2 linked regions of the Macaca fascicularis genome follow. The protein of the gene in region 1 interacts with the protein of each later gene in a pairwise test. Links are inferred from orthologs where the notes say so. Each region holds a gene or a part of one and is shown on either strand. Other genes may lie near its edges.

Region 1 (3,814 bases):
CAGGCTGGTCTGAAACTCCTGGACTTGGCCTCCCAAAGTTCTGGGATTACAGGCATGAGCCACTGCACCCGGCCTAAAATCACCTTTTTATATGTCTTCAGTTTCTCTGTTGAATATTGTGTTCTATCCACACAGAACTAATATTCCCAAAGCTTAGAGTCATTCTGAGATTTAGAGAAAAGAACTTTGGAGAATTTGAGAAAAAAAAGCTTCATCATTGAATAGCTCTTTACAGTTAAAACAAAGTCACCTCCCATATTTAGTATCCCTAAGTATTTTTGTCTCGCACTAAAGTTATTTGTATTACAGTAATTTGCCAAAGCTCCATGACACTGTGATATTATTTCTCCTTAAATCAGCTCACATTTTAATGTTAACATTTTTAAAAGAAAATATGTCAGTGACTTAATTGGAAAATCACTAATAAGTAGAAAGTAACAAAACAAGATAAAACAAAAAAGTTACTAATTTTTAGCTAAATACTCTTGTCCGCTGGAAACGGTACCCCTGAACCTTTTCATTTGGCCCTTTTTTTTTTTTTTTTTTTTTTAATTTTTAAAAAGTCAGTTTGCAAGTGTTAGTTGAAGACAAGCACCAAGCTGAGAATTTGTCCTGGATGTAATCAGAATTCAAAAAAAATGTCTTAAGGTATCAGTATTACCCACAGTTTAATACTAGATCTCTATGCTTCTTAGCAGTCATCTGACATACCAGTGCCTTGGGAAACATTACCACCTAAAAAGAATTTGGAGCCTCTAAGACCCTGTGTGTTGGGTTTTGATAAATAATATTAATATATAATATTTTACCTATCACACATCTATAACCTCCGCAATTCCCTTTTCATTTCTATCAACAGATGCGGCATTCCAAACGAACTCACTGCCCTGATTGGGATAACAGAGAAAGCTGGGGACATGAAAGCTACCGTGGAAGTCACAAGCGGAAGAGGAGATCTCATAGTAGCACACAAGAGAACAGGCATTGTAAACCATGTCACCAGTTTAAAGAATCTGATTGGTAAATCAACTCTTGAACTAGTAGCATTGTAGCTCTAATAGTTTTAAATGATTTGTCATTTGCTTGTATAGCTTTCATCTGTCAAATTGTTTTATAATTCAGTCAACAAATACTCATTTAGAAAATATTTGAGTACTTATTTTAGACTAGACTATAGGTGCTGAGGCTGCAGCTGTGAATAAAACAAAGTTCTTATCCTTATGTATGTCTGTCTCCCTGGGAGTGGTAGGAGACAGTTGATCAGTAAGTGAATGTAAAATGTATTAAATAACATGGTGCGTCCCAGCTGCCAGTAACGTGACTAGGGAGATGACACACAAAAAGTTAAGTAATAGTGATCGAATGCCCAATGCGTACCTTTAATTTGTATATAAGAGGGAGACGTGTATGTTGTAGCGCTCATTAAGTGTTTCAGAAATCAGATAGGGTTTTATAGGGGAGGAGTTACTCCAACAGAGAAAAGCAACATGTATTATTAGTCACTTAAACACTGTATTGTATTTGTAGATGAGGCCAAGGGATATGTTTGTTTGGGATTTTTAGAAGCTGGCTTTATTTAAGAACTGTTGTTTTCATAGGTCGTAGCTAGTAATTTTGGGAAATGGCCTCAATAAAAAACTTGCAACAGCGTGTGTCCTGTTGTATTGTATTCTTACCAGTGTAAAATTTGGAGGTAATACATTTATATAGAATTAAAGGAATCTTAAAGTTCTAAATGATTAAAGAAAGGCTAGGTAGGTTTCTTTCACTGTTTCATTAATTTCCCTTTTTCGTTTGTTTTGTTGGTTCTGTTTTCTTCTTGTTTTGTGCAGATGTTCCATTGGGACTGTTTACCAGATTGCTTTCTAAATTAGCCAGCTGGGGTTACTTTAAAAAACAGTATGTAATTTCTTTCCTTCTCCACGTTAACAGACTTGTTCTGCCAAACTGAGCTTATTTGTAGTCAGTGCAGACAAATCATGCTTCATACACATTGTTATATAAGGGGAAGTGGGAAGGTTTATGGCAGGATTTCAAAGACCAGAAATAATTAATAATTAATGTACAGTATACTAAAGAAAACTATCTGTACCCCACTATTAATAAATACAAAAAACCCTAAGGCTTAACGTCATAGTACTAGTTACTCATTGGATAATAGGATAATTATACATTATATATGTAGAAAGGAAGTGATACGAGTGATGAATAATTCATTCATGCTCATAGTTAATTACATAAACATGATACTGAGTCCAGTTAACCACCAGGCCAATACCTTCTTTGACATTGGTACCAGATGTGTTTGGTGGTCAACATTCACCATAATCCAGAATGTTCTAATTTTGAAGATCAAAAACTTTGAGTGTTTTTATAAAATAACAAAAAACTGAAAAATGCAGAAAAGTATAAAAATGGTAATCTCTATAGGATATTAGTCCCAATTATTTAGCTGTAAAATTATAATTTAAAAAAAATCTTTGTTTCTAAATCTTTGCTGCTGATTATTTCCTGAAAATACACTCCAAGAAGAAGCATTTTTAAGGTAAAGGATATGAACTCTTAAAGGTTTCTTGCTACAGGTTCATATTTCTTTTTCTAGAAAGTTTGCCAAATTATACAACGTGCCCCTTCATGCTCTCACCAATCTTGGCTGTTTTGAAAGGCCAAGAATAATGTTTTGATTAAACTGAATTTTTAAATTTCTAACAAATTTGTCCACTGTCACATAAGTATTGATCATTTGAACATCTTTTTATTCTTAGCCTGTTTATTAAAGTATATTTTATTGATTTAGAAGAGCTTTTTATGACATATTATTTTAACCATTTGTCATATATATGTTGCATAGTGTCTTGTCTTTATGATTTGTCTTTTGGAGGTAGCCTGTGAATTGGTCTCCCTTTCTACAGGCTTAGTTAATCCATTCTGCATTAGAAAGACTGATGTGGCTGTAAACCCTATCTTTATATTGTGCATAGAAGCCTGTAACATAAAGTATCAAGTCTTAAAGCAGTGATTCTCCAACTTTAGTGTGAATAAGAATCACCTTGGAGGTATGTTGACCAGATTTAGAGTCAGTGAGTATGACTTGAGGCCCAGGGTTACCATTTTTAATAAGAACTCCATATTTGATATTGCTGATAAATAGACCGTCTTTTGAGAAATACTCTTTAGCCTAGCATGCAGGGCTTTTAATGATGCTATTCTCAGCTTACTTATTTGTCTACATTCCCCTGTGTGAAAATTGCTCTTGCCGGGATTGCCTTTTTCCTGAGTAATGCATAGACAAATCCATCTCTAAGCCATTGTGGCTAAAAGTGTCATATGAATTTAAGATGGTAACATGCCATTCTTCTCCACCAGAATTTCTTCTGTATTCTATTTTGTCCAAATCCTGGCTTCCCTTTAAGATGCAACTCTATTTCCATCTTTTTTGTAATTATTCTCTGACCATTTTAAACAGATTTTTTTCCCCATCTCTGACTCTAAGCACTCATGTGTTGTAACTTTTTAGAATTTCCTACATTGTTGGATTTTGTTTCATTTTTATGTGAGTAATCTCAAGTTGTTCATTATTTGTTGGCAGGGACTTTGCCTTATATAATTTTTTTTTTTATCTCCCACAGGACCTGTGGATATATAAAAACGAATGCCCTTACCCTCATCCGTCTTGGCTATTTTAAAGGCTATAGTGAAATATTCACTGGGCATTCAGTGGATATTTTAAAAAATTAAATCAGTCTGTTCATCCTGTCTACCCTTTCCATAGCCTGTGTAATTCTGTAGACTTTGTTTATATAATCTCTCAGCC
Region 2 (4,542 bases), on another chromosome or scaffold:
AATCTGGTACGGAGTGCTCCCCAAAGATATAGATGCAGGAGACTGTGCAATTGTCCAAAGTTTCCAGTTACCTTGCAGGCATTTAAGGTTGGTGACTGACAGTGAGGCAGGAGAACAAAGAAAATGAAGCAGAAGAAGAGCAAAGGGAATTAAACGTTGGATAAAGGGCAAAATAAGTAAAACCAGAGAGCAGAAGCAAGGTGAAGGGGCGGGTGAGCAAGAAGCAAGATAAATGGCAGAAGCTGAGGAGACAAAACAAAAGGAGGATTAAAAACTGAGTAAAAATCCCATGGCCAGGGAAATCAGGACCAAACCAGTAAGGAACAGCTCTTTAGGCATAAGCATGCGCATTAAACACAAAAAGTATCCTTAACGTAAGGATAACCAGCTCATTAGCGCTCATGCATATGGACGGCATATCATGCAGGTACTTAAAATTATGGAATGAAGACGGCCCTCAAGCGCACAGGGGCCAAAGTAACTAAGCAACACACCTATCATTCAAAAAGGTAGACACTGGCTACAGATTAGGCAGCCTTGGGAAAAGAAGAAAAGCCTGGCTAACATGGTGAAACATCATCTCTACAAAAACTACAAAAATTAGCCGGGCGTGGTGGCGGGCGCCTGTAATCCCAGCTACTCGGAAGGCGAAGGCTGCAGTGAGCCGAGACCGCACCATTGCACTCCAGCCTGGGCAACACAGCGAGACTACGTCGGGAAAAAAAAAAAAAAGACCCAAACTACACCAAGCTGGGGCTGATCTTATCTCGCAGAGGTCACTCCGCTCTCCCCTCCGAGAGTGGAATACTGTGCTTAATAAACTTGCTGCTTTGCTATCTCTGTGTGACTCGTTCAAATTTTTGTTCGGGGCACCAAGAGCCTGCAACTGTGCGGTAACAGCAGCTATTGGGCAGCGTAGAGTCTAGTCCAGGATCCAGCTTCGCCTATTGACTGGAGTCCGCATCCCGGGGGAATGCGATGGCCAGAGGGCAGAGGTGAGCAAAATGCTCACGACGCCCAGCCCTGAATGAACCCAGGGGGTCAGAAGGGATGACTGCAGAATTCGCTCCCCCTACTCCCTCCGCCCTCGCTCCTAGTACCCGCATAAAGAGGCTTCGGGCCCCCACCCCCGGGACCCTCTGGTGTCCCACCATGTGACCGAGTCTCCCTGCAACAATGACTTAAAAAGAGCTGGGGCCAGCGCCGGACCTCTGGCTCTCGCTCCACGCCCTTTCCCCGGCCCCACACCCGCCAAGACCCCCCTCTCTACCCCACGCGCCTACCGCAGGCGTCCCCCTGCCAAGCCTTGGGTCACGGAAACCGTACTTGTGAACCGCAAACACACAACAGACTGCAGACCCGGAAGAACCTGAGCCCGTGTTGACCACACCGCCTGGCTAGGGGCGGGACTTCCGGCCCCGCATTTTTACTTCCGCTTCCGGTTCCCAGCGTCAACTGCAGCCGGGGTTCTGCGCTCGGGTGAGGAGCTAGTGGCGTCGGCAGGTTCGAGGCGATTCGAGGTGAGGGGGTCAAGCGGAGAGGCTCGGAGTTGGGGAAAGCTGTCGCGACCCAGCCACCCAGGGTCTGGGGTCGGTGGGAGGTGAGGCCAGGGAGTTTTGTGTCAGGGCATTCAGGCGTCGAGAAGGGGCGGATGCGCGGCTGCCTGGGGTTCGCGGCCCTGGGACAGGGGACTTGGCCTGGGAGTATTCGAGTGCGGGGGGTTGGGAGCAGAACGGAAGGCTCAGTAACCGAGAATTTTAGGGCCTGGGACTGGGAGACTTGTAGGCTGGGGCTTCTGGGTCTGGGAGACGCCCGAAGCTCTGATTTTGCTACTTCCCACCCCACTGCTCTGTGTAGCTCCAGCTAGGATGATCGAGGTTGTTTGCAACGACCGTCTGGGGAAGAAGGTCCGCGTTAAATGCAAGTATCCATTGGCAGCCGAGAGGCAGTGGTACTCGCAGGGGTGCTTGGCGTGAGGCAGGCAACTCAATCTGTTGTCGGATGGTTTTAGTTAAACCCGGGAGAGGGGGCGGATGGGGTCCTGGCAGATGGTATTCAGCCCTGGAATGTCCTCTTCCTCGTTCTACCGCTCCCATTTGCCTTAACTCCTCTGCGCCCAGCACGGATGATACTATCGGGGACCTTAAGAAGCTGATTGCAGCCCAAACTGGCACCCGTTGGAACAAGATTGTCCTGAAGAAGTGGTGAGTGCAGTAGTAGAGCCACTGGGTGGACTGGACTAGGCCGGAAGGTTTTGGTTTGGGGGAGCGCTGCAAGCAGCCCTTTGCTTAGGCTGGGCTACCTCATTCGGCCTCCAGGCTGAAGAGCCTACTTAGCCTTATCTCTGAAATGTCTCTTTTCCTTAGGTACACGATTTTTAAGGACCACGTGTCTCTGGGGGACTGTATCCTTTGTGTGACTTCTTGAGGAAGCATCTACATACCCAGCCTCGGTTATCTTCGTTCCAAACTAAAGTCTGCATGAGATAATGTTTATTAAGTGTTTAACTTAGTACGTGGCACATGGTGAGCACTTAGAAAGTGGGAGCTAGGCTGGGCGCGGTGGCTCACGCCTGTAATCCCGGCACTTTGGGAGGCCGAGGTAGGCGGATCATAAGGTGAGGAGATCGAGACCATCCTGGCTAACACGGTGAAACCCCGTCTCTACTAAAAAATACAAAAAAATTAGCCGGGCATAGTGGCGGGCGCCTGTAGTCCCAGCTGCTCGGGAGGCTGAGGCAGGAGAATGGCTTGAACCGGGGAGGCGGAGCTTGCAGTGAACCGACATCGTGCCACTGCACTCCATCCTAGGCAACAGAGCGAAGACTGTCTCAAAAAAAAAAAAGAAGAAGAACATGAGAGCTATGTAATTATTTGGTTGGGGAGAGGGTAGTTGGTGAAAGTTTGACTTCAAGTTCAAAATATTTATTACTGACCTCCACCTGAGTGCTGGACAGTAGGTCAGGGTGGGGTGAGACTTAGGTATATCTATTGTGCAGAAGGAACAGAAACTTTTTGAATTTTTATTTTATTTATTTTTTTGAGACAGTCTCGCTCTGTCGCCCAGGCTGGAGTGCAGTGGCGCGGTCTTGGTCCACTGCAACCTTCACCTCCCGAGTTCAAGCAATTCTGCCTCAGCCTCCCAAGTAGTTGGGATTACAGGCCTGTGCCACCACTCCTTGCTAGTTTTTGTATTTTTAGTAGAGATGGGGTTCTGCCACATTTTCCAGGCTAGTCTCGAACTCCTGGCCTCAAGTGATCCTCCCGCCTCGGCCTCCCAAAGTGCTAGGATTATAGCCATGAGCCACTACACTTGGCCTAGAAGGAACAGAAACTTTTTTTTTTTTGAGATGGAGTTTTGCTGTTGTTGCCCAGGCTGGAGTACAGTGGCACAATCTTGGCTCACTGCAGCCTCTACCTCCTGGGTGTAAGCGATTCTCCTGTCTCAGCCCTCCAAGTAGCTGGGATTACAGGTGCCCACCACCACACCCAGCTAACTTTTTTGTATTTTTAGTAGAGATGGGTTTTCACTGTGTTTAAACATCACAGTGTTGGCCAGGCTGGTCTCAAACTCCTGACATCAAGTGATCCACCTGCTTCAGCTTCCCAAAGTGCTGGGATTACAGGCGTGAGCCACTGCACCCAGCCAGAAATTTTTTGGTAAAGTTTCAGTTCTCTCCAAATAAAAATGGCCTGGTCCAAAATGGGCTTCCTTAGCCCTGAACTGAGACCTCAGGCCACCCTGACCCAGCTGTGAATGGATGAGAGGGGTGGGGATGGAAGCCAGAGTCAGGATTCCTTAACACCTTTCCTTCAGATGAAATCCACGATGGGATGAACCTGGAGCTTTATTACCAATAGATGAGAATCCTCATCTTCCTGCTGCCCTGCTCTCCTTTCCCATCCTCATCCCCCACACTGGGATAGATGCTTGTTTGTAAAAACTCACCTTAATAAAGACTTAGATGTTGCTTTGTTGCTGTCTCTTTGCATGAGAGCTGTCTAGTGATGGATGGATTGGTCGCTGTTAGGTCATCACTGCACCATCAGTATGTACCTGCTGAAATAAGAGCTCCAGATCAACTGGATCCATGAGGGCAGAGTAGACCAGCAGGCTGGGAGTCTGTGTAGGAGCCCAGAGAGAGCTCTGGGGTTTGCTGTGGGTGTCTGAAGGTCAAGAGACGCTGGGATTATTGTCACCCTAATAGACCAAAGAGCCTCCAGGTCATGACAGTAGATGGAATTGTTAGGAATTAAGATTCTGAAATCACACAGACCTGAGGAGGTATAGATGAGTTTAAAGCATGTTTAAACATCCACAGTTCCTGGCACCATTTTTTTTTTAAGACAGGGTCTTGCTCTTTCACCCAGGCTGGAATGCAGTGGTGCGATCATAGCCCACTGCAGCCCTGAAGTGGACTCAGACAGTCCTCCTGCATCAGCCTCCCAAGTAGCTGGGCGGTGTGTACCACCATGCCTGCTAAAACTTTTTTATTTTTATTTTTTTTTGAGACAGAGTCTCGCTCTATCACCCAGGCTGGAG

The links.
Region 2: the proteins of CLK4 (region 1) and UBL5 interact in a two-hybrid assay, tested with the Homo sapiens proteins (2 studies listed by BioGRID and IntAct). The link is inferred for Macaca fascicularis from reciprocal best matches to the Homo sapiens genes CLK4 and UBL5.

Annotation. Positions count from the first base shown.
Region 1 is NC_088380.1:185,417,415-185,421,228, reverse strand, and holds part of CLK4 (dual specificity protein kinase CLK4), read left to right. Parts: intron 1-859; coding exon of another isoform or gene 860-917; coding exon 918-1,020; intron 1,021-1,832; coding exon 1,833-1,899; exon of another isoform or gene 1,900-3,814. UniProt on the Homo sapiens protein: Dual specificity kinase acting on both serine/threonine and tyrosine-containing substrates.
Region 2 is NC_088393.1:10,369,202-10,373,743, forward strand, and holds UBL5 (ubiquitin-like protein 5), read left to right. Parts: upstream 1-1,457; 5' UTR 1,458-1,600; intron 1,601-1,857; 5' UTR 1,858-1,868; coding exon 1,869-1,924; intron 1,925-2,120; coding exon 2,121-2,204; intron 2,205-2,366; coding exon 2,367-2,404; intron 2,405-3,816; coding exon 3,817-3,860; 3' UTR 3,861-3,971; downstream 3,972-4,542. UniProt on the Homo sapiens protein: Ubiquitin-like protein that plays a role in cell proliferation and sister chromatid cohesion by associating with spliceosomal proteins. Participates thereby in pre-mRNA splicing by maintaining spliceosome integrity.